4 linked regions of the Styela clava genome follow. The protein of the gene in region 2 purifies or fractionates together with the protein of the main gene of each other region. This does not show direct contact. Links are inferred from orthologs where the notes say so. Each region holds a gene or a part of one and is shown on either strand. Other genes may lie near its edges.

The links.
Region 1: the proteins of vesicle transport protein USE1-like (region 2) and RAD50-interacting protein 1-like purify together in Homo sapiens (co-immunoprecipitation; 3 studies listed by BioGRID and IntAct, counting the BioPlex papers as one, with this or other methods). This does not show direct contact. The link is inferred for Styela clava from reciprocal best matches to the Homo sapiens genes USE1 and RINT1.
Region 3: the proteins of vesicle transport protein USE1-like (region 2) and vesicle transport protein SEC20-like purify together in Homo sapiens (co-immunoprecipitation; 4 studies listed by BioGRID and IntAct, counting the BioPlex papers as one, with this or other methods). This does not show direct contact. The link is inferred for Styela clava from reciprocal best matches to the Homo sapiens genes USE1 and BNIP1.
Region 4: the proteins of vesicle transport protein USE1-like (region 2) and sec1 family domain-containing protein 1-like purify together in Homo sapiens (affinity purification with mass spectrometry; 3 studies listed by BioGRID and IntAct, counting the BioPlex papers as one, with this or other methods). This does not show direct contact. The link is inferred for Styela clava from reciprocal best matches to the Homo sapiens genes USE1 and SCFD1.

The regions. Positions count from the first base shown.
Region 1 is NC_135250.1:9,702,304-9,710,095, forward strand, and holds the start of RAD50-interacting protein 1-like, read left to right. Parts: upstream 1-4,785; 5' UTR 4,786-4,873; coding exon 4,874-5,011; intron 5,012-5,767; coding exon 5,768-6,009; intron 6,010-6,621; coding exon 6,622-6,801; intron 6,802-7,347; coding exon 7,348-7,542; coding exon of another isoform or gene 7,543-7,571; intron 7,572-7,792. Other genes in the region: U8 snoRNA-decapping enzyme-like, read left to right, coding at 2,627-3,262. UniProt on the Homo sapiens protein: Involved in regulation of membrane traffic between the Golgi and the endoplasmic reticulum (ER); the function is proposed to depend on its association in the NRZ complex which is believed to play a role in SNARE assembly at the ER.
Region 2 is NC_135261.1:1,556,449-1,563,767, forward strand, and holds the start of vesicle transport protein USE1-like, read left to right. Parts: upstream 1-4,311; 5' UTR 4,312-4,394; coding exon 4,395-5,174; 3' UTR 5,175-7,319. Other genes in the region: ketohexokinase-like, read right to left, coding at 625-728.
Region 3 is NC_135250.1:16,235,072-16,241,944, reverse strand, and holds vesicle transport protein SEC20-like, read left to right. Parts: upstream 1-4,911; coding exon 4,912-5,643; 3' UTR 5,644-6,354; downstream 6,355-6,873. Other genes in the region: zinc finger CCCH-type with G patch domain-containing protein-like, read left to right, coding at 2,359-4,083; cathepsin L-like, read left to right, coding at 6,420-6,599. UniProt on the Homo sapiens protein: As part of a SNARE complex may be involved in endoplasmic reticulum membranes fusion and be required for the maintenance of endoplasmic reticulum organization. Also plays a role in apoptosis.
Region 4 is NC_135251.1:11,552,291-11,559,154, forward strand, and holds the start of sec1 family domain-containing protein 1-like, read right to left. Parts: upstream 3,014-6,864; 5' UTR 2,833-3,013; coding exon 2,802-2,832; intron 1,987-2,801; coding exon 1,827-1,986; intron 1,576-1,826; coding exon 1,485-1,575; intron 1,147-1,484; coding exon 1,051-1,146; intron 614-1,050; coding exon 499-613; intron 220-498; coding exon 111-219; intron 1-110. Other genes in the region: uncharacterized protein LOC120336583, read right to left, coding at 5,494-5,676, 6,035-6,162, 6,786-6,864. UniProt on the Homo sapiens protein: Plays a role in SNARE-pin assembly and Golgi-to-ER retrograde transport via its interaction with COG4. Involved in vesicular transport between the endoplasmic reticulum and the Golgi.

The sequences.
Region 1 (7,792 bases), on a different chromosome or scaffold from region 2:
AACACAAGCAAGAGATCTACGCACAAATATATGGACACGTTAGACCAGAGCGAATCAGTCTTTACCGGTACCTTTGACGCTACCGGTACCCTCAAAAAAGTTCTGAATTTCCAGTAGCAAGAATTTTGCAGAATCAAAACGTACAGCCAGTCATGACACTGACTAAAATCCGTGTTCCCATGAATAAAAAATAATACAGCAAAATTTTAGACGAAATATCAAATTTCATAGAATTCACGCAAAATTTTGAAATAAATAAAAGTAATAGCCTTCTAGCGAAGAAATTAATCTTTAACCACTGAAAATTTCAAAGCAATTGGTCCAGTATTCGAAGAGAAAAGCGATTTTTAAAAATGTGTCAAAGAACAAGAACAACAACATAATATTGAAACGATCGTTATGGCCACTAAACGTGTCCAATAATATTGAAACGATCGTTATGTCCACTTCGTGTCTAATAATACTCGCAAACGAGCAGCGAAAATAGAGCAACACAATTTTGTTGATGTCTAATTCTTTAGACAAATATCGCTTTTATAGTGGAGTATACACATCTGAAAGAATCTGAAAATAGTAATAGTCTGTAGTCGGCTGCATTTAGGAGTATTGGAGGTCGCGAATCGATTGTTTATTGGCTTTCGCCTTCCAGTCTCTTTGAATCGCACATGGTTAAATCTTTTGGATAAAAATTATAGTTTTTAACTTAAGCCATTGTGACGAGGCTTATTATGATAGTGTTTCGAAGAGTTGGCTCTCACAAACTGGTTTAAATTATCAAAACCATCATTATTAAAACAAGAGAGCTATGCTCAAATAAATGGAGCCGTAGGATAATTCATCATCACTTCACCGAAAACCAAAGATATCCTACACGAAGCTGAACATTGAAACCAACTGCTAGTATCCGGAGGCGCAGTTCTTACCACTTCATGGCAGCTCCTGCCACGAACGAACCGCGGCAGCTCTTGCCATGGTTTTATAGCGCTATTCAGTATTCAGTAATCAGTATTAACGGTATATTCACAAATTAATGTACCAGATTTTAATTGATCATGTGGAATTATATCTACTTAAACCCTAACCCTAACCCCAAATCAATCAAAACTGTATCCATAAGAAAAACGTTCCAACTTACACAATATTTGTCACCATAATAGACAGCCCTGTCCAATGTTCCCTCTAATTTTTTGTAGTATGTGTGCGCAGAAGTTTTGGTGTGTGCGCACTTTTTTGGAAATGACTAATATTTGTGCAAAAACCAATGAAAAAATTTTGGCGTTCTAACCGGGTAATAAGTGGGCCAACAACAAACTTTCTCAACCTGCCAACCGAGCACATTGTTACATTACATCGAAATAAGTCTGTGCGCACTGCGCAGTAAATCTATGCGTGTGCGCAGCCTCTGAAAGCTGTGTGCGCGCGCACACGCGCACACCTTAGAGGGAACACTGGCCCTGTCTTTACGGCCCACCTGCCGCGGTTACGGCAGCAAAATTTTACCTGCCATTGGTTTTCAATTTGCTGCCGCGGTGACGGCAGCTCGACATTGGTTTGTGGCAGCTAAAAAGTCAGTTGCCATGAGTTTGGTCGTAGCGGCCATGGTATGGAAATACCGCCATGGTTTTGCGGCAGCTGCAGATGCCACAGAATACTTAAAACTGCACTTGAGTATCCGTACCCCTGTACCCTGTCCGTACCGTACCCAGTACGGTACGGCACAGTTTACTTATTTCCAAAAAAGCCCCCATATTAAAAAACTTTAATTATAACTGTGACTGTAGGCCCCGCTTTTAAGAGACTGTTTGGGCTTCCATATCGGCAAAGGGACACTGTTATAGGTACACCCACTTTCCAGGTTCTGTGACGATTCAAAGTGAATTGAAATACCTACTGATTCGAGTTACTACGGTATCATTCATAACAGTAAATACTGCAGTCTACAAATATTATATGAACAGCAAGCGAAGCAGTAGTTCACAAAACGCTTGGTGGGTTAAAAATCGCGTTCCCATGATTAAATGGTAATACAGCGATATTTTTTGATAAAATATTAAATCTCATGGGATTTACAGGAAGTTTGGAGGAAAATAAAAGTAATAGCCTTCTGGAGAAAATTCCATCTTCAACCACTGAAAATTTCAATGCAATTGTCCCAGTATTCAAAGAAAAAAGCGATTTTTTAATGATAATGATGATGAAAAACAACAACATAATATTCCGAGGCTGATGTTTTGCCAGATTCTTTAGTTCGACGAACTTGAAAACGTTCACCACGGTCATATTTTATTTGATTCGCCAAGATTATTTACCTACGGTCAGACCGTAAATATATACTACTACGGTCAGACCATAGATTTTACATCTACGGATCTATGTATGCATCTATGATCTATGTAGACTAGATGCATGCACGAGACCCACGGTACTGTATGGTGAATAAGGAATATAAATCTGTAAGTAGGCCTATATCAGTATATATAAAAAAGTGCACAATGTTAATAATAATCCTCTATTGTACTTATATTTAAGAATAAACTAAACTAGCCTGCTTTTTGAGTTGAATTCTCAATTGCTAAATTGAGTGTTGTGCCTGTGTGTCACCATAACTCAATCACAATACTGTGATATGGATAGGCCATGTCTTTGGAAAGACCCTAATGCTGTTGCAATAAGCAAGGAAGAATCTCTTACATCCATGAGAGACTGCAAACATGCAGCTCATGCAATGATTTACAGTTTCTCTAGCAAGAGTTTATTTGGACGCATACCAATGCAACATAACATTCTAATAACGATGAGATTTGATGGTACTTTTGGATTTCCTGGAGGTCTAATTAATAATATAGAAGGCTCAGAAAGCATTGAAGATGGACTTAATCGTGAGTTAAGAGAAGAAATCAATTTGGATTTAAGATTTTTTATGACCGAAAATGAATATTTTCGTTCTTATCTTCAGACCCTAGGAAAAGGAAAATTGGTCAATCACTTCTATTTAAAACAAGTATCTGAAAGTGAATTTTTTGATATTGAAAAACGTTGTATTGATGCTGGTGATTGGGGCACAGAAACGCTAGGTATTGTGCGTGTTCCTGTTCAAGAGAAAGCTGGTTATCATCAAAAAAATTCCCCAATTGTGAACTTCTTACGTCATAATTTTGTTGGGAATGCAAAGCAAGAACTCGTTGAGGGAATGATAAAATGTGATATTTTTTCACATGACGAAATGCTGAAAATATGGAAGATGTCAGGGAGAGTAAAATAGTTTTCTAGCTTGTCTAACGTTAGATGAAGTTTCACATAATTTCAAGTATAATTTCACACAATTGAACAAGGCTTTGAAAAAGCAGTCACTGATGATAAGTTCATAGCTACCTTAGACCGGACCTCATTCTTTTTTTAAATATAAAATATATCTCGCATATGATTTTCATTGTGGAAAATTGAAAGCTAGAGTTATAAATGAGTTTTTATTATGATAGAGTATTCTGCACTTGAAGTAATTATTTCCTAAACCTTTATATGGTTTATCCAGAACTCACTGTATTTTTTGTTTACCGATATGGTATTGGTGATTTTGTTTGCTTGTGACATTCTAAAGATTTCAGTTTCATTTCTTGTTCTCTGCATTATTGTTTTTTCCATTATTATTATTTATTTACATTAATTACTTTACATACTACTATTCTATAACTTTTGAAAAATTTACGAATTTGTTTTTAGAGAGTTAGGTAATAAAATTGTAATTGTTGTTTTTATTTGTATTCCTGTAAAACACTTTTTGGTCTATTTCTGAGTTTGGTACAATCAAGCAACTATTTTCAAATTTGAGGAAATCGCAAATGTTAACAAACCAGTTTGATTTGTATCATCGAACAAAAAAAATTTACAATTCATGTTATAGCCTATCTTTGTGTGTGACATTCATTATTAAATAGTATATGAGGTGTTTATAAAGTCCTGTTACAATTTTCAAAATTTTTATAGGAAATTATTACTTACCTTATAATTCGACGCATGAAATCCAAATTGGGCTAAGTTCATTTTTCTAGTTTTTTGTTTCTTTTTTTTATTTCTCTAATACCTTACATCGAGGATGTCTAGTTTTTATGGTCCACCAAAGTTACAATGAAGGCCATATTTGGATGGTATAAAAAAATTTGTGTTGGGGGTTTTTTTTTGGACTTAACCCTTTTTGGCTCTCAATTTTCTGGACCAGAAACAATTTTATTGGACTAAGGGCCCCTTTATTATGTTATTATAGAGGGAAAAAAACGGACTTAGCCCCAACTTACAATGCAGTTATCCAGAGTTAAGTCCACTATAGTAGACACAGCTCTGTTTAGTTCTCAAATGCCCTAAAAAAAGCAGGGTTATGTCCATAGCTGTCTTGAGATCTAGAGCACCTAGAGATAAGGCAAATAGACCAAAATGTAGAGCTAAGTCCAGGAAAATCAGCAATTGAAAAATGTCATTTTTTGGAAAAGTGGACTTAGCACGTTTGGTTTTGAGGTGTCGAATATGTCCTGACTCCTAACCAGGTTTTTGTATATTTTTAGGGCATTACTCTTGGTTAGACATAGCAAAATCTTTCTCAATACCCATAAATTAAATTAGTTATGGACACGGTGGTAAAAATTTTATTCCTGATCAACTAAAATTCAGTCCTTGGTAGTATTTATGATCTTTAGTTTGCACTTCTATATACAATATTTGAGGTGACCAATTGTCATATACAACATAGATGGGTATACATAATTTATGCAAATTGACCTTTCATCACAGATTATCTTAAATCAAAGAAATGGTATAGAATAGTAATAGCCTATATTTGAGATTTTGTGTCTCATTTTTGACCCTTGTCTGTGAAAGCTGTATGATGAATCGTCATCAGGGGATTGTTAAGGAATTTCTTGACACAAATTTTGGTCAAGTAACAAGGATTGATGATTTAGCAAATGCAAGGGAAATATACAATCAACTGCTTGGAAGACAACGTGATATTGAACACCAGGTTTTGATATATTATTGTACAGAATTTTGATATATACATATATACAAAATTAAGGTCATCAAAAATGAAACAATGATTATTAATTTGATCCTTATGCGACACTGACTTGGTTTTAATTATAGCGATTATAGAAAAATTACATCTCATTTTATCAAGGTCACTTTAAATTGAACCTCAACTTGCTATTAATTCTGGAAAATAAACGTCAGTTTAAGTCGATAATTTTGAAATTTTGATTGCTTGTTTCAGGCATTTGATTTTTTAATCCCCCCCTCCCTCCAATCTGAGCATTTACGACTTTATATTCAATTGGCTCCCCATGGTAATAATATGATAATCTTCCACTCCCTTGTTGAAGATGACCATCATAATGTAATTGAGTTCTATTATGTTTGTTTAGGTCACAGTTACAAGACCAAACAATTCATATGAAAAATTTCATATGTTACAGAAGGCTAGTTTGAGTGAACTATTTTATGGTGGTATTGTACCTGTTTAACTCTCATATGCCAGAAAATGTTTTTTTATACAAGATAGGAGCAATAATATGCATTATGCATCATAATTCGCATGTGCATTTTAGCACAAGGGTGGTCTCCATGTTTTATTCACATATATAATTTGTCCCCCCCTTTGCGTCGCTGGCGTTTTAGTTTTTTTGCTTTTCAGACATTCTGTCTTGACACCTTTGTTGACTATATCTCGGAATAAACGTATTACTGTACCAATACTAAGAAATTGTTCTTTTATTTATAGCTGTCTGTTATTAGAACTGAAGTTCCAACAAAAATTGAAAGTGCAATCCGACTTTCTGATGAAAGTTTAACACAAGGTGAAACTCTCATCGCACAAAAAGATGTTCTTGTTAAAAAAATTAATCAAGCTATGGAAGAATGCCAGCCCATAAATGATGATCTTGGAGGAATGGTTTTTCAAGTGAAGGAAATAGAAAAATTTGTTGTTTATTTACAATGGTTGAAACATGTGGAAGAATTGAGGTTTGTCATAGATTGCAGACAATGTTAACTTTGGCAACTTATGAATCTAACTATATTTATTCGTACTTGTTAGATTATATATTGCTTCCAATATGTTAACAGTCACATTTGGCTATAATATATTTATATATTTTTCATTGAAAATTATTTAATGACTGGAAATTGTAAGACTGAAGTGCTTGAAGTAGTTGAATTGATGTCATCGTAGCTGTTGAACTTTTTATTATGATGTCATAGTGTTTTACCATACAATGTTTAGCCTACATTTCAGTAAACTGATTTCATTGTTTCCAGTAATCACAAACAGGCTATCCCGTACACTGTGCAAGGTTTAGATACTTTTGAACAAAATATTTATTTGTTAGTTTTTCAAGACAAAATGTCGGGCAAACTTTCAAAAAAAGCTCGCAATCGCTGTAAATATAATCGGGCGTTCCAATATGATTTGATAAAGAATTATTTTCAGAATGGAAAATATCATTATGAAAACTAGCTATTGTTATATATATTGCTGAAGAATGCATCCATCACGATTTTTCAGACCCTAGAATTAAAAATCAAAGCCAATCGTTCATAATGCCCACTCTTCAAGTTTATGCATTTCTTATTTAGTGAAGAAATACAGAGATGCATTTCGAGCGACAATTTGAGTGGTGGTAGTCAAGCTTTTACCAAGTTGATAAAGGTTAACCAGATACTCACAACACAACATTCAAAATGTGAAAGTCTAATGAAATTTACTTCCGATACAATTCTATTCTGGCATAAATTTTTGAAGGACAAATTGGCTTTGTAAGTATCAGTTATTATTGTTATGATAATTGAGGTAGACTAGAACAGTAACAAAAATGCTTGCAGAAAGTTGTTTAAAGGACTGTGAATTTAAAATGATAAAAAGGGTGTTTAATAAGTTTGGTTTTCTGTTTGTGGGATAAGTGTGCAGTGTGTTAATTTCACTCAAATCGATACTTACAGAAATTCCACCTTAGAAAAATTCACCTAGTAAATTTCCTCTCTGAAAGTGTCATTGAAAATTTCTTCTATGGAATATCCCACTCAAATAAAATCCCCAATGCCAACTTATTTTTTAATTGATTCTTTGTAAAATGTGATATTTTTATCGCTTGAATCAGAATTTTCAGGTTGATATTTTCATGGTTCAATTTCCTCGGGTGCTATTTTCAGGACACGCTCCGAGTGACCATAAGTAGTTAGTTACAAATCAGGGATGAACTATTTCAGAAGGATTTCATTGTTCAATATTATCCCTAACATTTTCTCAACCAATTGGAGTTACTTTATCATCCTAGTATTTAACACTCAAATTGTCCATTTCAGAGAGTTGGAGAGTGTTTTGAAGCACATAAGTTGGCCTTTTATTCTTGCCCCTGGTCCACGAACCATTCCTAAGACACTGCCAGGCTCCTCGGGCGAGAAAAGTTCTAGTAAAAGTGGAGCAAATTCCACAGCTTCAACGGATCTACGTGCAGATTTTGAACGGGTTTTCACGAACTTGTTAATGATTCAACTTCCGTATCCTTTCATAGGCTATTTAAGACTTGGTGAAAATTAGCATATCATTTTCAGTTGTTCATAATTATAATTTGAGGGTGCTTTGGTTATTGTGTGAATAACTTCTCCTTATGTATTTTTTTACTGTGCTTCCATATATGGCAACCCAAGCACAAGAGGGCAATGCTCAGCCCTCAAATATGTGTACATAGAGGTTCTAAAAGTTTTCCCTCATGTCATAAAAAGTATTCCTATAAATTAGAATGAATCT
Region 2 (7,319 bases):
ACAGCATTATGTGATCATTTTCAGGCGCATCATTCATGAAAAGTTCTCGTTATTATAATGAATGAGCTGGATTTTATGATACTAAGCTTGACAGTATTACGATAAGGTTTGACACGAGGCTTATTGTTTTCCACTTTTGCTTTTGCAACACTTTGAATAGTGTGCATAAAATGTAACTTTTTACGTCACACTTACATGGCCCGCAAGTTCAAGTAGGCAAATTTTTTGGAATATTCGAATCGAATAGTAAATTGTTGAATCGGTTCAGAGCATAATTTCGAATCGCCTCCATCTTGTTATTTTTTTTTTCCGCCTATGGTCGAGGAAAATTACCCAATTTTTTTTAACAGAGCCATATTTTAGGAATACCATTCTGACATATGACTATTTTCTGTAGTGAGTTATTGATAAATAAGTGTTTTTTATTGTGTGTGAACGCTCCGCAATCTGTCTTAGTGATGTATTCAGTAATGAATTTGTTGACAGGACCAATTACAATAAAAAATTAGCATATAATTACATATCTCCATTGACTCACAAGTATTCGAGATTCGATTCTGAAATCATCAGGTATTCAAAAATGACAAGATCTATACTAAGTAACAAAATAATAGTAGGTCTTACCCATTTTGAGAATCTTCTTCTGGATATGACTCGCATATTGTTATTAAGTCAACACATATTTGTCCAACACTGAGGACATATTTTGAAGATTTTACGGAAGTCATTCTTGATATTAAGTCCTGAAAAGTAGAAAATCGTTTCGTACTCCCGTATTTTGTGAACCAAGATGGCGGATACCGGAACGTAGTATGTGTACCAGGTTAGGGTTAGGCCATAATTTCAGGTACAAATACTACAGGAGTCACTTGGCTATGTCTCCGAACTCGTGATAAATTATTGCCTAACCCTGTTGCACATACTACGTTCCGGTTTCGGCCATCTTGGTTCACATACTACGGGAGCACACGACGTTTTCGGTGCGAACTCGTTTTTCTCTGTACTGCGACAATACAACGCTACATTTCTCAAGTACTGTCGTCTGAATTGATATCCTATGTAGATACGACACTTTACAAATTCACGATGAATGACATGAGTCGATCAATCGAAGTTCACTCCGTGATATAAAAATTGACAGCAACAGACATGTGCAGGCGGAAATGCAAAAGCCACCGGACATCATTGATTACTCTGCGTGGGTTTGCAGGTTCGAATCCCATGCAGGGATGGTTATGTGCGAGAGGATTGCTTGACTCCTCGCCACTGTAGGGTGCCACCATCAAGTCCATGCTTACGAAAACAAAAAACTAACTAATAATAATAATCGGCTTTCCTCTCCCCCGGGAAAAATATGTAAATCCTATCCTATCAAGTTATTGAAAATATTATATTTTTTGACTTCAGTAAATTTAGTTAAAGCAATACTTTGCGATAGTTCTATTTTAATTCAAGTATTACATATCAAAACCTGATTTTCTGGTAAAACTCGTTTGATATTAAATATACATTCATTATATTGTACGTCCTTTTGATTTTAGAATGTATTGCCAAAGTATCGATCATCTTCTTGGCTATACTTGTGTTTCATGTATTCAAGAAAGGGGAAAATGTCATCACCCTCACGTACGTTCCTTTGAATGCTTACATGCTCTCGCTCGAAACAGAAGCTTCTGCTTCGTTGTTGAGCAACTTTGTGTCTGTCATTCCACGTCAAAACTCACAAACCGTGTTTAATCTTCGCGCTGTCAATCGAATTGTGACATAATCAATATCTGTTTATTTGGTAGAGTATAACAGAAATCGTAGCATAATAAGTAGGGTTAGAGTGCTTCTTGAATCATATTTGCGTGGTCAAGTTAACTTCAACAGTAATATTACATCTGTGAGGTGTGAAAGATTATAAACGTGCGCACGAGGTGGTAGATATCTAACGACGTCATATGTTAAGTCTTTGTGCATAATGTTTTGATTGACACTACGGAAATTGATTTTTTAATTGATAAAAAGGCTTTGACATACCTTGAATGATCATTTAAATGAAATTTTTCGTGACTCATTGTTGTGTCAGCTGCAATTTTAAAATTTGTCAATCAATCAATTTTATTTTGGTCACTCTGAAAGAAACAGAACAACAACAAGATAGCAATCAGAGACCGCCGACTTATCGATCTAGCGGCGTGTATCCTTCGCTCTGACTCAATAGCGACACCGCGTGTCCCATAACTAATTAATTGATAACTCGCTAATTATAGGACATTATTCATCCAAAATCAATAGGCTTCTGGTCTGAGATATGATGAATGTACATACAAGCTTTGGAGCAACCTTGCTTTCGTGGAATAGCGCGTAACATACGAAAGTATCTATCAGACAGACAAATACCTATCATTTTTTGGGGGATTTTTTTGCCTATTCAAGTCAATTGGAGCGTAATGCAACGGTTCTTTTTTACTTTAGCTTACGACATCAAACTCGCTATGAACTCGCTTCACGATGAGCGGCTAACCAAGATTAATTTTCCCATTTTTTGTCTCTTTATAATAGGAATTTATGCACACTGTATATTTTCCACAGTTGAGTATGTTGTCTGTTAATTAAGGTACTGTGGGTAGCGGTGCCCCGAGCCCCGAGAGACGTGGATCTCCCCAGATTCTGTAGTGATTTATTACGCACGTAATCAAAAAAAAGCATTAGCTATTATTCTTCAATAAAACAACGACTAATTTGACAATGAGTTTTGTCATGACGATTCTTATTATATGGAAATTCAAAATGTGTTCAATATATCTTTCCTCGAGAATATTGTCAATACCGCGTGCAAACTCTACCCTGAAGTTTGACCTCCGGATTTCAAATATATGACTCCTTGTAGCGTCATCGTTTCTATTAGCAAGACTGTCTGGATCAAAGTGACTATGATCTGGATTGGGTAGTTCAGAACTGATAGCTGTAGGCCTACATCTATCTCGTTGTTAGTAAGGATTAAGTGTCTATTTTATTCCGGGTAGAGGAAATACGGCTTATCATATAGAAAACCACGGTCTCTCGTCCGGTCCAAAGTTTATCTTTACTGTTCACTCCCATTTATAAAATTGACCAATTTGGCAGTGCAATCATCATAAATTTATTAATATGGTGTGGCAAGTAGTTTTTATTTATTTATTTTTTATTAACTACCAGTATGTAATTTTTCATGTTTCCTTTACTTAATAACTTCTATATGGTTGTGTGTGTGGGTGCGTGTAAGCTTGTGTGAAATATTTCAATTATTTTATGTGAGTGAACACGTACCACATCTTCTTGGCAAAACCTTCCATCTTATATGCATTCTGTACGTTTTAAACCTTATCTAAGGTTTTGTTCGCTCTCCTGATTTCATAAGCAGTTTTTATTTATTTATTTTTACAATTCATTTTATTGTTTTGCTGATTATGGAGTCGAAATAAACTTATACTTAATATACTTATACTTATTTGGGGCAATCTCCCACCTAAAACTAAAAAAAGTTATTTGTGCATGTTTTCAGTAAGACACTGACCTGCTGACTGACTGAAAAAGTATTTCCTAGTGAAATATTCTAATTAGTCCTAATACCTTAAATTATTTTCTCGAAATATAGACTATCTCGTGTTTGATTTGCTTATTGAAGGTCATGGCCATTTTTTCTAACTTTTGTGTGTGCATAATTGAAAGTTGCTGTTTTTTTTATCTTTTTTTTTACACAAATAATTGCTCTGTCATCAATCTGATGATTATTATGTTCAACTCTAAAAGGCATTGTTAATGATATTTCCAACTTTTTAATTATTGCTGAATCTGTGATAATACTGTAATATGATTGCTTCAATATTATCTTTATTTCTCCATGTATTTGAGTCCGGTACATGTCCAGTGAATATTTAATTATAAGAAAATATAATAAATAGCTAATTGTAAAAACCAATCTTGATATTTGTTTTGTTTCTCTGGGCCTGTCCGCACCTAAAAACTATTGTACATATTGTCGTTGTGCCTTACCTTTTTGTCTTGTGTATTTTACTAGAGTTTTATTTGTATTGTCAATTTCATGTCTGTTGTCCTGGTATATCGCATCAGTCCTAAAGTGCTGTTATAATTGTTAGGGGTACATGTCGCACATCTGTGTCTTAGGCCAGTAAGGTCTTGAACATGTATCCCGTCTCTGTTATACTGTTCAATTATTATGCAGATACTGTTACATTTTGAGGCAAATAAACATACATACTTTGTGTGACCCAGGATAAATATGTGAATCCTATCTTAGTTTATATTGCGGAAGTCAACAAACTAGACATAAATTCCAAATCTTTAATCTAATCTAGAGCTGTCACTAAAATAAAATAAATAATAGCTAAATATTAAGTTATTTCAAGATGGCTCCTGCAGTGAGAAGCCGAGCAGAGATTCGTCTTATACGACTGCTTTCCAGATGTGAAGAGATGGCTGGGTTAAACACACCTGATGACTGGAGACTTGAAAAGTATGTTGGAGCATTAGAGGAACGTCTACAAGCGGTCCAAAAGCTTGATTCCTCGGAAAAACCAAAGGAAGATATCATCAGTGAATACGCAAAGAAAATTAAATTTTTAAAACAACTTTTAGAGACTCAAAAATTACCTGTCACATCAGAAAAATCTCTCGCTAACCAACTACTCGTGCCAGCAAAGTCTCGGACGATTCCAACTAATAAAGAATCTCCGACGGGAAAGCAGATTCAAATGCAGGCATCGTCGAGATACACTACGGAAATGCGCGACGAACTCATGCTCACAGAGAAGGAGAAATCAGCCGGAGTGCGCTATAGAGCAACGTCTTCTGGTGGAAGTACGCAAAATGCAGACACTGAAGCTATACTGCAACATCAACATAAAATGCACGAAAAAATTGCTGACGAAATGGTTGCGTTAACAAGGAATTTGAAACACAACATTATGGCTTCTAACAGAGTTATAAAAGATGATTTGAATGTGATCGAAAAATCTTCTAAAAAAGCTGATCAGAATTACGGCCAACTTCAAACCGAGTCGTCACGACTTGAGAGTCATTTAAAGAAAGGGACGAACTGGTTGTTGTGGATATCTCTTGCTCTTGTCTGCGCTGTGTTTATGTTCATGATTTTTTTCATCAGGTTTTTTCCCAAAAGGTACTCTTGATTGTTCATCATTATTATTCTTGTAAGTGCCAATAATGCTATCTCAGGGGTGTGAAACATTTAAAACAGGAGGGCCAGATGGATATAACTGGGTGAAATCGCGGGCCACACTTAGCTTTTAAGGCATTATGAAGTCATAAGCCTAGATAGTAAATTGGATGTACCAAATCAAATTTAAAACTTGTTTCTCAGGCCGCACCTCATTCAAAATTGTCACTTCTTCGTGGGCCACACAATTATTTATAGAGGGACGAATTTGGCCCCAGGTTGCACACCCCTGTACTGCGCCATCGTAGTAAGAATGTAAGGAGCATACGATACAAGTTTTCTCAATATTTAATGTGCCTATAAACAGGGATGCCCAGTTCCGAATACTGCACTCTTCCGAATACATTCTAAAATAATATTTTCGAATCTGGAATTTTCAATACATTCTAAAATCAGACATACAAATTTTTGTTTTAGTAAATTACGGTAATATCCAGTAAAATAGGAAATAGCTCCAATAGAAATATTAGAATGAGGCCACAAACCAACAGTATATGTACACAAATTATTTGATAGTTTATGCCAAGTTTCTATTGAGAAAGTTAACATTCAATGAAGACGCTTCGAGAGCGATGTCGCAGATGTGTGACGTTACACAAAAATTCGATATTCCTATAAACGTTGATTCCGATATTCGAATGACGAGATATTCAAACTGGCCATCCCTGCCTATTAATCTACTAAACAAGATAATCAAATGCGAGAGGATTGCTTGGCTCCTCACAGGCGTTGGATGGTTCATGTAACCCGGCCAGTTGTTGATAACTGATAACTGATTAGGCTATCTAATTCCATCATGGATTGGTAACCGAACGAGTGGACATGGTTTGCCATATGATTGATTTGTCTTATCTGCTCTTCCGGGATAAATATATTGAAATCTTACTCTAAACCAGGGATGTGCAACCTGCGACTACGAGGAAAAATTGTGTGACCCGTGGAGAAATGCCTATTTTGAAATGGTGTGCGGCACGAGAAACGAGTTTCAAAATTCTCAAGTTTAATCTAGTACATGCGAGTAATTCCTGTGCGTTGCAAAGCCTATACCTGAGCTCTTGCGAAGCGAGCACTGCATGTCATCAGATCAATACTGGGGCTAGGCATTTTCGAATACCTGATATTTCAGAATCGAATAATTTTTTCGAATCGAATCTCGAATACTTGGAAGATATATAATCGCATGTAACTTTCTTATTGTATTGAACACACAAATTACTGGAAAAGTAAAATACATAACTCAGACAGATTGCTGAAGCGCTCACACACAATAAAAAACACATTTTCATCAATAACTCACTAATTTTTGTGCCTGCATCTACTAGAAAGCCTATGGTAAATAAATTTGCTGCCCGCGGTTTTACCCAATTATGTGTATCTGGCGCTCCTGTATTATTAAAGGTTGCACACCCCTGACCTGAACAGATGAAAAGATGCTTTACTGCCTGCCTGTTACCAGTTGTGCATTTAAATATTGAGAATCTACTTGGTACCACTTTTATAATGTTCTATTTTATTGCTATTTCTTGGTGCAATTAGTTAAAGTCTTGATGTTTGAATTGTATATTTTTGACATGTTTTGGTGAAGGATATTCTGCATTATTCATATCTTTAATCAAGGATTCAAGAACTTGGATCCAATCTGTGGATATCATTTACCTCAATTCTAAATCCCTTAATAATCAATAATTTATCTCCGTATTGATATATTGTGATCAATATTGGATTTGTTGGATTAAGTTTCACCTGAGTTGTGAGGTAGGCTGATTCTCACCTCTCTTTGTTGTATATTTGGAAAGCAACTCATGGATTATGTTTTCATGGTCATAAGCAGTGATAAGGAGGCTCCAGTCCAGGGGTTCCCAACTGTCCATGGCGTGGCCCCTTTCCCGAGGTTTTTTAGAGTTTTTTGTAAAAGGAAAAATAAAATCAGTTTTGCGCCTAGCATTGTGGCTCCCTTGTGGGCGCTCCAGTAGTATGTGAACCAAGATGGCGAACACCGGAACGTAGCATGTGTACCAGGTTAGGGTTAGGACATAATTTTATTCCAATTTTTCTTTTTTAGTCCTATTAGGAGTTCGGTGACTAGCCAAGTGACTCC
Region 3 (6,873 bases), on a different chromosome or scaffold from region 2:
CAGGTCCTCTGCATTTTGTTTGTCCGTTTGTTGTTGTTTTGTTTCTTTCAGAGGGACCAAAATAAAATTGATTGATTGATTTTACCTGTACACCGGTAGCCTACCGGTACCGTAACCTAATGCTGTAATGCTTGGCAGCGAGTTGATGAATCTCACAATTGTCTGAATTGTAGTCTTCCATAAAGATATGTAAACTTTACATTGTGCCATAAATCTGTAAATATTTGACATCATTTCAAAACATTCCATATTTCAGCACGGCTGTGTGGCTCATCGTGTTAAGCGTTAGAAATACGCTCGCCACCGCACCTCTGATTACTCTTCTAGTCTTCGTTGGTTCGCAGGTTCGAATCCCATGCGGGGATGGTCATGTGCGAGAGGATTGCTGGACTCTTCGCCGCCATAGGGTGGTTCACGTAACCGCTGGTCGGTTACGGCTTCCTCCACCATCAAGTCCATGCTAGTTAGTTAATAAAAATAACTAACTAATCCCATACCCGACATGGAATGGTAACCGGACGAGAGGCCGTGGTTCGTCATATGGTTAAGCCGTCTTATCGACTTTGCTCTCCCTGGGATAAATATGTAAATCCTATTTAAATTCAACAGTACAGTGCGCTAATCACCTAACACAAATTAAAATTTCAGTATTTCGTCTAGTCTACTAATCTAAAATGTCGAACTATGCCAATGCTCCTGTATTTCGGAAAGCTGATATTTCAAAGCACAACAATAAAAAGAGCTTGTGGATTATTTTAAATAATAAAATCTATGATGTTACAAACTTCTATTCTGAACATCCTGGAGGGAAATCTGTTTTGAACGATGTAGCAGGAAGAGATGCCACAGCTGATTTCAATGATGTTGGTCATTCGAGGGATGCATTGATAATGCAAGAGGAATATTTTATTGGAATGCTTCATCCTGATGACCAGAAAAATTGATAAAATATTATTCTGTGAAAATTATAAACTTTAGTGAAAAAAGTTACTTTGATTAAATAGTCTAGTTGGCAAACTTCCACTGAATAAATTGACCTTGTGTATAACGTTCGTCTTTTACAGTATGCAGGTATAGCACCAAACAAAAATGTGATGTGAAAATGAACGGCATAACTGCTTGAATTATCCAAACAAAAAATGTGATGTGAAAATACAACTCAAATTTCAATTTTTTTCAAATACTGAAATAAGGGTCTGTTACAGGCAAACACTAAACCCTATTTCAGTAAGTTAGATGTGATTTCATCTAACATGTCTGTCTGTCAGTAATTTCGTGAGAGACAATTTTATTAAAAATTAAAAAAAGGATTTTCACACATTTTCGTTTAGCGCTAGGCCTATAATACAGTAATATAAGCAGTTACAGCATTTATTCGGATATGGCTTCCACCACCATCAAGTTCATGCATTTGAAACAAGTAACTGGCTAACTAACGTCGTACTCGACATGGATTAGAAACTAGAGGTCGTGGTACACCGTGTGATAAAACCAACCTGTTCTTATCGGTTTTCCTGTCTGCCAGGATAAATTTGAAAATCCCAAGATACAACATCATTGGCAATTATAACTTGATAAATTGGCTATTATTTCACCATGTCAATTTTGCTCTTTACATATTGAAACGAGTTTTTTCAAAAAATTCATGAACATTGAAGTGTATTTTTTGTCTTGTGTCATATATAATTTTATTTATCCCTACTACTGTTCTACATGTAGGCTACTACAGCAGGGCTACTCAACTGGCGGTCCGAATCCGGACCTTTCGAGTACTTGATTCGGACCGCACCTAATTCTTTATTTTGGACCATTAGCCCCACATTTGAAGTTTCATTTTATAAAGTAACTTTTATTGTTTTGAATATATATGAAATAAACTATAACACCATAACAAACAAGCTTGATTAGCTAAAAATCATTAGCCGGTCGAGGAAGTGTGCGTTTGAGGATGCCGAAATATAATTTGTGAAAACACCGGACCCAAATAATTTTGAAGTTTTGTATGCGGATCTTCGGTAAAAATAGTTGAGTAGCCCTGTACTACAGTACTACACTGCATCTTAAAAAACAATAAGAACATAAGGTAATTGTGATCAGTATCAGGCTATTTCAGTATTTGAAGTTGTAATAGCATACTAATCATACTTTTTTACGCTGTAGAAGGAGGCTATGTTGTTGTTGGTTTTGCTTCATCCTTTTCTTTATTACATTATTTGTTTTAAAAATGTCTGTAACAGGCTGGCGTGAACCAATCCATCGATTTTGTCAAAATATGTGCAATATAATAGGTAATTTTTTTAATTACGGTATATCCATGATGACATGATATATATTTTATTTAGTTAGGTTCATTCTGGTATGATTACAATGGATAGCATAACAACAGATTTATACAAGAAACAACTTGATCAAGTAAATGAAGCATTAAAAAGTCAAACGAATAATTCAGATGTAAAAGACTTATTGCAGTTGCGAGATGATCTGACTCAATTATTGAGTTTGTGTGTTGATTGTCCATCAGAAAATACAACTGCAATTGAGAATGCAGAATCATTGGAATATGACATAGCTACTGATAGACAACATGTAAGGAGTGGAACAACATCAAATATAGAAGATGAATTGAGTGCATTTTACAACAATGATTCACAAGCAGAAAATGACCAGGACAAAACAGGTCAAAGCAATCCAGATAATGTTGATGCTGATGGGCATACTATGGATAACGAATTAGCAAATTTTTATTCAGAGATATCTAATTTGGATACAGAATGTCCTTCTTTGCATAAGACTGATGAAAGCTCATTGTCAATATTTAGTGAAAATATTTCTAAATGTGAAAACAATGACTCGTCCGATCCAAACAATGAAATATTTTTGGACAGTATTGAATATGTGGATGACATAAGTGGTGTAAAATGTCAAGCACCGTTTTCTACAGAATGGTCAGGTACACAATATCACAATGCAATGATACAAGTAGCAGTGGAAAATGATGAAAGTATATGTGATAAGGCTGATAATGAAATGAACGTTAAAGTACTCTTTTTGAACCCAATTATGAAAGAAATGCAGCCTTGCCCATATTATCTTGAAGGGAATTGTAAGTTTGATGAAGCTGGCTGTCGATATTCGCATGGTTATATTGTCAATATATTTGAGCTGAGGCCTTTTGTCTCTCCAGATTACTCAAATTTAACTGAAGGACATAAATGTTTGGCTAAAACACAGGATGGATTATGGAAACCTGGTATTGTGGTTAAAATTGAAGACAATCTTTACTCTGTTAGTTTTTTGCACAAATCTCCAACTCTTACACTAGCTTTACATGACCTTTTGCCTGAGACTAATCATATTATTATTGATGAAAATGAAGTAGATTCTGACGAAGACATATTAGTAGAGATAACCCCCCAAAATTTATACAAAGAATATGGAGCATCAAGTTCCAAAGGGATGCCTCCTCGTTTAGGCTTATGGGAAGAACACACTAACGGCATAGGCTCGAAACTTATGCAGAAAATGGGATATCAATTAGGTGAAGGCTTGGGTAAAAGCAGTCAAGGCCGTTTAGAACCTGTTCCAATTGTCATGCTTCCAGTTGGTAAATCGCTCGACCATTGCATGGAAGTAAGACTTAAAAAGGGTGTAAAACACATTGGCGATACAAACCAAAATACACAAGGAAGTGAAAAAGTACTTAGGAGAAAAAAACGTGACAGATGTGTTTTTTCATTCCTCAACAAGACTTTAGGTGTCAGTGAAGCTAAAAAAGACTCTAAAAAGCAAATTGAAATGCCTAAAGATATGTTTGGAATAAAGGCTGGTACTGAACAAAAAAATGTAAAAAATTTCAATAAACAAATGATGAAAAATGAAGATGACATGAAAAAAATTAAAGCAAAAGTTCTCAAAGTAAAAGAATCATTACGAAGGAACCAATCTAATCCTTCAGTCGTCAAATCTTTGACTGAAAAACTCGACAAACTAAAGGAAGATTTGACAAACATGAAAGAACTGGAATCTAATATTAAAATTCATAAGTCAAGAATGGAAACTCATAGAAAAATGACAAGTTTTTGATTGGTGTGCAATACTTAAAAAGAAGATAACAACATAATTAAGAATTCCATGTAGTGTTAATACTATGAAGTTGTAGTTTCTATAAAATGTTTATTTTGGGATTTCTTATCATAGCGCACTAAAGTAAAATTGTTTTCACACTGTAGCAAGCAGAGCTTGTTTGAAATCAACGTGACTCCAGGTTTGGAGCCAGAGTATGTTCAAACAGCAGCTAGAGCTCCAGTTTTTACCTCTGAGCTGGGCTGAAATTTCACGGCAGTGGGTCTCAAAATCATGATGCTGAGAATGATAGATTTCATTATTTATTGGAGTGTGATATAAAAAAAATTATAAAAGGTAAATAATATGTAAACATTCAAGAACTGGGGACTCACTGAAAATTTCTAGTAGCTTCAGCTCCAGCTGGTATGGGGAACTTAGCGCCAGCTTCAACAAAACGTCATAACTGCAGGCTCTTATTTCACTAGATAATTAAAGCGTTTGGCTTGATTGCTCTCAGGTGATGACCCAAGAGTTTTTTAGCAATAAGTCACAATTCAAAAAAGTGCTCAAAAAGTGTTTTTCATTCGACTATTCATTTGAACTAAATTACATCGTCATTAATAAATCCTTGATTTAGAAAAAGTGATGTTGATTGATTATTTAATTTTCGTAAATATTTTGATCAATGCCTGATAATCAAGAATCAATTTTCATTATTTGATACTGACTCATATTTGCTAGCTATCACACTGTGACTCTGTTTTATTTGATTTTTTTGTTTTTGTATTTTCTCAATATCAAGAATAAGTTCAATATTTGTTTAGCGTTATTTGAGAATATAGGGCGATGAATGCACAAAGCTGGGTGCGTAAGTTATCTCTGGAGAAGAAGAAAGTTCCAGAAAATGCTGATTTGAAAGAAAAGATTGTTACAATGGATTGCTCTGCTAAAGCTGCGATTCAGGATGTCTGGAGATGTGATGGCACAATAGAAAACTTACAGACAATTCATGAAAATGCTCGTAGAAAAATTAATGAGCTTCGTGCTGCTATTCAAGATTTTGAAACAGCTGCACAGGAAGCTGATGATGTGAAACAAAAATTAGAAATGGAAGAGTCGGTCAAATTTTTTAAGGAACAAATTCAGAACACAAATTCTACGTTGCGCAAAGCATATTTGACTAAAAAGATTGCTCTCGATGAGGAGTCGAAAATGTTACTTCTTGGTGGTGCTAAAAACTCAGAAGTTCGTCGTCGTCAAGCATCTGCTGCAAATCAAGAAAACCTTGCACGAACTGCGAACGATGTAACACAAAGTCTGTTGAGCATAAGTCGGGTCATGAGTGGCAGCGTGCAACAGAGTGCTGACTCATTGAATACGTTAGTCAGGTCGTCTGGTTCTTTAAAACAGACCGATGAAGAATTGAAAGACCAGTCTGGCGTTATCCAGACCAGTCATAGGTTATTGACTAAATATAATAGGCGAGAATGCACTGATAAATTTTTAATATTTCTTGCATTGGCTTTCTTTTTCAGTACAGTGCTATATATTTTGAAAAAGCGTTTGTGGCCTGTGTAATAATTAACCCTATAAAATTTTACTAATAAAGAATGATATTGTTGTTAAATTCAAATATATTTAATTTATTAGAAATCATTATACTTAGTATTAGTAACAGTTATTCTAGATATCAGTGCTTCGTTTTCTAGAATTTCATTTATCGCTGTCTGGATATTTTCCTGACTGTGTTTAACTTGATTTATTCTGTTGTAGGTTAAAATTGGTTAATAATGTGCAATAATCCGTCAGAATCTTTGATATAATTTTTTTGTGGTATTGAGTATTAATACTGATCTAAAAATAATTCGGCAACAAATGTTCTAGGTTGATGTCACTGATGCACGAACAATGCAGGGTGAAAAAAAGATTCTACATGTTCATGTTAAGGAATATTATAAATTCAATTTAATAGTTCAGTACTCCAACCTAATTCTAGCTGATGACATAAATTTCTGGCGAATTAAAAAAAGATTTCAGTGGTTCAGCACTTAGGACTTGACAGTTACTGTTTATTTCGGAATTATGTATAATCTATTCAATGTTTATACAATATTGGTGTTGTCATGTGTATCTTTGTCTGTCATCTGTAAAATTTTGGTATTGGTTGTTGTCGGATAATGTGGGAAAAAGAAATAGGTTTTGACACAGAAATTTGATCCCTAATTGGATGAAATTTAGTTGTGCAGGGATTGAATATTTTATTTTGCCATATATTGTCTGTGTTTACAGTTCTTAAAATAAAGTTTTAGTTTTTAATATTTACCTGTAGGAATATTGAAAGGCGCTCAAATAAAATGAAGCTCCTTATTGTGGCTTTGGTTATTGGACTCAGCCAATGCTTTGGAGAAAATAATTCGTTACCTGGTGGAATTATGGAATTGGACACAAATGGTTTTCCACCAGAATTTGGTCGGGCATATAAAAAAGCAAAGATCCCATTCATTTTTATTAATGCTGATAAAGTTACACATCAGGTATTGATACTGTTGTAATTGTAATTAGTTAGTCCTATTTGCCTAGTATATTATGTTGTAATATTCATTAACAAATATTCTAGACATCAAACATCATTTCTATTGTGCTATTTTGTTCAGTATTGAAGGACTAATGTTTATGATGGTTAACCAATAGGCTTAACTAATAATGTGCCAAAATCAGATGGGTAATTTTAATATATGTAACCAATCACAGTTTGTGAATATCTCGCTAGGTTGTGCATGGAAATTACAACTAATATTTATGTGATAT
Region 4 (6,864 bases), on a different chromosome or scaffold from region 2:
GCACAAAGAAAAAAGACTTTTTAAAACTTTCAAAATATATTTCTATATTCATGTCTTATAATTTGGGTATAAATTTATGAAAAAAAGATAACATTATACAGAAAACATACCTGATTATTGGAATTGCACCAAGACATACAAACACGCAGTAAAGACTGTCAACAATTGCATCAATTATGCTCATCATTTCTGTGTCTTTGATGGCAGTTTTATTGATACCTGTTTCAATAATCATGGATGGCATTATAACAGTATATAACTGCAGAAGCAAACATTTTTAGTCATTCGTATTCCAAGAGATGCTATATAACTGCGTTGAAAACAGTGAGTTTGTAAACTCTGACTTAATAATATCTAAATTAAATAACAACTACAAAGCTGAAGCCAATAAACTGCATGTAAAAATCACCAAATGTATAATTGAATACGGTTAACTTAATAAGCATAAATTCAATATTTTTAGAAAAAGACAATTGATTGAACTAAAAAGAAACCTACTGTAATATGAAATTGCATCTTTGTTTTGATTTCTCAAAAGAAACATGTTATCTTCGAGACTGATGAAATTTAAATATTGATCGAAAACTTTAGTAACATAAGATTCTGCATTCGCCTTAAAAAAAGGGAGAGTATGGTTATAAAATGTTTAACACATTAATGTAACTAAAATAGGAACTATGATGAAAAAATTGGTAATGTTTATTAAATATGTTGATGTGCATTATATATTTTGCCACTGACCACTAACACAGTAAGAGCTATAAATAAGCTTATTTCCAATATATAATGGTTGACATGAGACCTTGAATTCAAGTCAACATTGCCAGGGAAAAACGATAGACGAAAAAAAAATTTTTCAAGGCATTAATTCTTAGTAAAAACTTTTAGCATAGTGTTAAATTCTAATCATGCACCAGCAAAGACGTCATCAACAAAGATGTCTAATATTTCCATTTGTCATTTGTGATTCAATTCAAGTTGACAGACCAAGAACTTTTAACAGAATTCTGCTTCATTGTCCAAATTACAATTCTTACAACAATAACTTACTAATACAGCAGCACTCGCAAGATCTTCTAATTTATGTCTCGGAATAGCGGATATAAAATTAAAGTAATATCCTTCATAAAGCTCATTTTGCATATCCTGTAAAAAGAACAGAAAACATAAACAGTCACTAAATAACCAAATAGCAAACCATTCTCAAATTAATAACTTGACTGTATATAAAACTGTCACACTCAACACTGTATATTAATATCTGGTGACTAGGGCTAAATGCCCTACAGAGTGGTACATATTACCATAACAGGATATGTCTTGGAATTGATCCCTGTTAGCCCCCACAACTTGTCCACCCAAACTATGATAAACTAACAAAAGAATAATCACAAAGCTATCATTCATTACAAACTCGGCAGCTGTGTTTTTTTGAAAACATAAGAAAATTGTCAGCCAATGTTACAAATTCCTTCAAACATTACCCGACACATTCTTGTTATATTTTCATCTGTTGGTAAAATAAAATATATGGCAGGAACGTCTGGTACTGGATCTCTGTCACTATGAAGAGACCTGAATAAAAAAATATTAATAGAGTTATACTTGATTTGCAACTTGCCATCAATTTTATGCCCTCAATTCGATCGTGAAATAAATTATGCAAAGCTATATTAAAAATAAAGTCATTCCAATTAATAAAAAATCGATGTATAGTAGTTAAGTTATGAGCCATCATTGATCGAAGTTGCAATAATCAAACTTTCTCAAAGCTGTACATAAAATTTGTCCTAAAATAGATGCCTTTAAACAATAGTTTTACTTACAAGTATAATGTAACTCCCATGTCTCTCAATTCACTAACAGATAATAAAGGTGAAATAATATCTTGACCGAATCTATCATAAATCAAGACTTTCCATTCTGGTTCCATACTTGATGCTTTAGTTACTGGATTTCCAAAATGTAGCATTCTCTTGATGGCAACTAAAATTAACATGAATTTATACCGAGTTATTTGCCTTTCGCTGTGAACGAGGTCTTGTAAAAGCATCAACTGAAAATATATTCAGAATTTTGGGGAAAATTTTTTTATTTATAAATGGTTGCTCATCGTAAAAGCTTTCAAAACCAAATTCAATGATAGGACGCAAAAAAAGAGGCAAGTTCACTAAACGCCGTCAAGTACTTCTAGTTGGCGTGGCATAACCATTTTCGCAAATGTCATTTTTGACCCTCGCCTGACTACGCCATCACAAAATTAAGCCACTACAACGTCACAGTGACGAAATAAGGCCCGTCAAAGTATACAGATTGTCATCTAAAACGCGCAGACGATCACTCAAAATCAAGCAAGCTATTTCTCTTGTTTTCTCGTCCTACAGTCCTAACGATCCTGATATGAGGGAGATCCGATGGCGTTAGCGAGTTCGTTATCATTATCAGAGATGCGTTTTCAGGTGACCTAGCTTTTTTTTGGCAAGCTCTATGACGTGATTGTGACGTAGTCGGGTAGGGGGTTGGAATAACATAAGTAAAAATGTTTGTGCCACGCCAACTAGAATATTTATGCCTTTTGTGAACATGCGCCCATAAAACTGTGAAAAGCACATCAACTTTCAGACTTTACCATTCCATAATTTCTTTCTCATCTGGAAAGGCAGAAAAGGGTTATGGTACTGAAATACGAAAGTCCTATCTCAAAATGAGAAATGACGATACTGTAGGTTCAAAGAAACAATATAGCCTAGACATCTCTTTATCGGAACACGGAATTGTAAAAATACAGAAATATATCATACCTGCTTGCCGTTCTCGTATAGAGGCAGCCATTCTTGCTGAATAGGATTAGAAAATTAAAGAACAACTCAAAGACAATCTCCTTCTATCCACGAAAACCCATGAAGCAAATAACGGGCTAGCAGATCAATCCAAAACACATAACATCAAAGTAAAATGCGATTACAGGATTAAGCTAAGCTACATAACATGGGAACTGTAGTAGTAAACCACTGTGCCTGACTCGTCAGCTCTTCCACGCTAACAAGTGCTCCCTGTAAAAATAATATGTTCGGAGCTTAAAGAAAAATATTCATGTTTTTAAAAGTTTTGCAAATAAATTGAATAAGTCTGACTATAGAGGTCTTAAATTTTTCCATTAATTAAAAATGGTGCTTTTTATTCAAAAGCTATGATATAAAATATTAAGGGGAACACGGATTTTTCAACGTCAATATTGCTCTATTTTAAACCTAGTGGGCACAAACATTTAATATATCGTAATTAGGATGGAATTTTTCTATTTATCGTGGGAGAGAGGAAAACCGATAGGACGAGATAAGCCACGGCCTATCAGCTCATGTCGGATATGGGATAGTGGACCGTTTATTTATTTCAGACACATGAACTTGATGGTACAGGGGTGGGCAAGGTTTTTGAACAAGGGGCCAGGAATTTTGCCCACCTAGACTGGCGGGCAGTGGCGTAGCATCCACCCCCGCAACCCCCGCGGTCGCGGGAGGGCCCACAGCGCAAAGGGGCCTAAGCGGTTAGAAATTAGAATTTAGAAATTTAAGCCGTAAAACCAAAAGCTGCATTGCAAAACCAGTAATGCACATTTTAAAACGTTGATGTTAGTTCTGCTCAAAACATTTTGGTACGTAACAATGCCAGGGAGTCGTCGATTTTCGGCGTTTTGTGGTTTGATCGCACCGGCAAAGTTAGAAAGGTTGTCAGAATGATGTCGAAAGCAAAACCTCTCAGTGGCGCACAGAAACGCAAAGAAAGGGCAGAAGAGGAAGCACGTATGAAAAAAATTAAAGTGATCAAGATAAACGGCAAATTTTAGGTTACCATTAATAGCGACGTGTTATGCTTTTTGACGAAATAAATAAAAGCGTTGTTTTAGCTTATGTCCGAGAGTTTTTAGGGTCATTTCCACGAAATATTTTTGCGGGGGGGGGGGGGGGGGCACGAGAGTTTTGCTACGCCACTGCTGGCGGGTCATGTGAGTGTGGCGTGATAGGTTAAATTCTATGAACAATATTTACAGTGGTACAAAAGAAAAAGTGGAAAACAATAAGCCTTGAGCCAATATTAAATTTAATTGAAAAGTCAACAAATTCGTTGAGCTATTTTTTTAGGATTCGACCCGCGGTCCGTAATTTGCCCATGCCAGTGTAGAGGAGGCCGAAACCGACCAGCGGCTACGTGAACGGCAAGTAGTCTGTCAATCTGAGAGCTAAATCCAAATTGCAATACCAGTAAAATGACAGCTGATACGAATTAAATTCGTTTCCTCTTCCAGGCACGGTAAATATGAAGACGCAAGGTCACTAGAATGATGAAGGTGATCAGAAAGAGCACACACATGTAGAATCACCAATGAAATTTCCTCGTGTTCTATGGACTCGATGTTCCATCAAAATGTTTTCTGTTTAAACCCTTCTTATTTAGTATTCACGGTGCACTCAGGGGTTTTCCTACCGGTATCCATGCGCCATTGAGCCTTGTTTTCATGTTTTCAAGAAAACGTAGCCTACACGCAAAGCGAACCACTTATTTTTTTTCTAAATTTAGACAAAAGCACAAAACTTCTGCTCTCATCCAATGCACCCTCAATGAACACTTTTATAAATACCCTCTGTAGTCACATCTAAACAAACTTACATTTTTAGCTTTGCAAATTTGTATTTGAAATATCGCGAAATATAATATCAGTCTTCAAAAATGTTGCTAATTATTTGGACACGTAAATTGTCTGTCAAATGATTTTTGTATCATAATGACTTATGGACTGCGACTTTATCACCTTGTTTTGAATCTCGTAATTTGTTGTTGTTTAGGTTTTGCGAGAAATGTCTGTGAATTTCACTTAGAACCATTATGTTTTGGCGTAAAATATACATTCTCGTGTGACATTGTACTCTGGCCTCTCCAGTCGGACCTTCGCCCCATTTAAAGTTCAACAAATCAAAAGATTACGCCATCCTACCCCGGGAAACATTCGCAGTATAATACTTAGGGCTTTGCAACATATTCAAACATAGTTTCATATTAATTCCCGGGCGTCACAACAAACAGTTCTAAACAGCTTCGCCGATAGGAAAGTTAAAATAAAATGTATTAATTTTAAGACATATGCAGTCATCAGCGATCTTCAAGAATCTGTTTTCAACTTGAATTGTTGCTGTGCTGTGTTTTTTTTAAGAGTTTCGCCGCAAAACCACAGCGATAAAAGGAGGTAGGCTCTACAGAATGAATGAAATATGTCATTAATAATAATCTGATACAAATCTAACCCTGGCGAGCTAAACACCTTTCCTCCCAAACTTGATGCAACGTCATACTTTTGATAGCTATTCAGCTGAATCACACAAACAAACAAACTAGCAGTTTAGTCGGTAGATATTGCACAAAATAATATAACACAATAATGCTCCAGTTAATGGAATGAACAAAAACTACACAATATTCCTTGAATGAATGGAAATCTTAGATGATCTTGGAATCTCTATTCTTGTACTGATATTTCCTTGTGATGAATGGGATCCCATGTTTGTTGAGCATATGAATCCTCATGCTTTGTTTGATGCCATATGCACGGCCACATACTTTACATTTATGGGGTTTCTGCTTGATGTGGAAAATGTTGATATGCCTCTTCATATTGTTATACTGTAAGAGGTAAAATACCATGAACATTTCAAAATAGTAAACTATAAATTGAATAGAAAGTTATTTTTGAGTTATATATTGTCAATTTAAATGGATCTACTTTACAAAATACCCTGAAGTATAAGTCAAATTTTACTTAGTAAATTGGCAAAAAAATTAATTGGTATAACGGCATTTTGAACATACGAATGTAATTTTGAAAGCATGGTCCATAAAGTATATTCAAGAAGGCAATTGGCGGACAAGCTAACCACACACGATATAACATTGGTATAACAATTTGTTTTACAAGATAGTTCTAACATATTTAAAAAAAATCCAGTTCACCATCATAATTATCGTCATAAATTCAACATACCGCTGTGAATAGTCTGTTACAGAACGGACATTTACAACATTTCCTTTTGTGTTGATCAAATGCTTCCATGGATGAGAACAAGTGATTGCAAGTCACACAAACATGAACATTATTATCAATATTTATATCTGAAATAGAATAAAAAAGGATTAGAAAAAGAATATTCAGAGTTAAATATGACAATCATCAATCATGTTTTTAAGTCATTTGTGTTTCTCTGTAATTTTTACCCAAATTGTATATTTTTATGATTTTCTAAACATGGGCCAACTCTCGTGCCATGATATATTTTCTCGATTCTGGCTTGCAAACACCTTTTCTTTTTACTACATGACAAGGAAACTCATTGTACACTCAAGATTTAAATTGAGTTTATTCTCAAGTACAACGCTTAGTGAGATGGTACTTGAACATATGAGCTATGCCCAGACCCCAGAGGTAGGACACACGGTATGGCAAACTCATTCTTGGAATGACCTGATAATCATTGAATTCGTTCTTGTTTTTTGTTTTAGACGTTAGACAACAGCAATTAGGTGCTGATGGATAATTAGTGCTGTATTTGACGTTTTTGAAAATGATGTGTTATTAGAGTGTCATGTTGCGACATGAGAGAACCGGTTCTTTAAATTTTGAATCTCACCACCGGATATGCCCCTCTCAATTAACTACATTTTGTCCAGTTTGCGTCATATGCAGTGTTATAGTGCTTTGATTTGTGCCAAAAGGTCGTAGAGGTAGATTGGCTTACTTGCATTGGCTGGAGTCGGAACATGGTTTGCACTGCTGGGATAATCATAACTGTGTGTGGTGGCGAGTGCAGGTTGTAT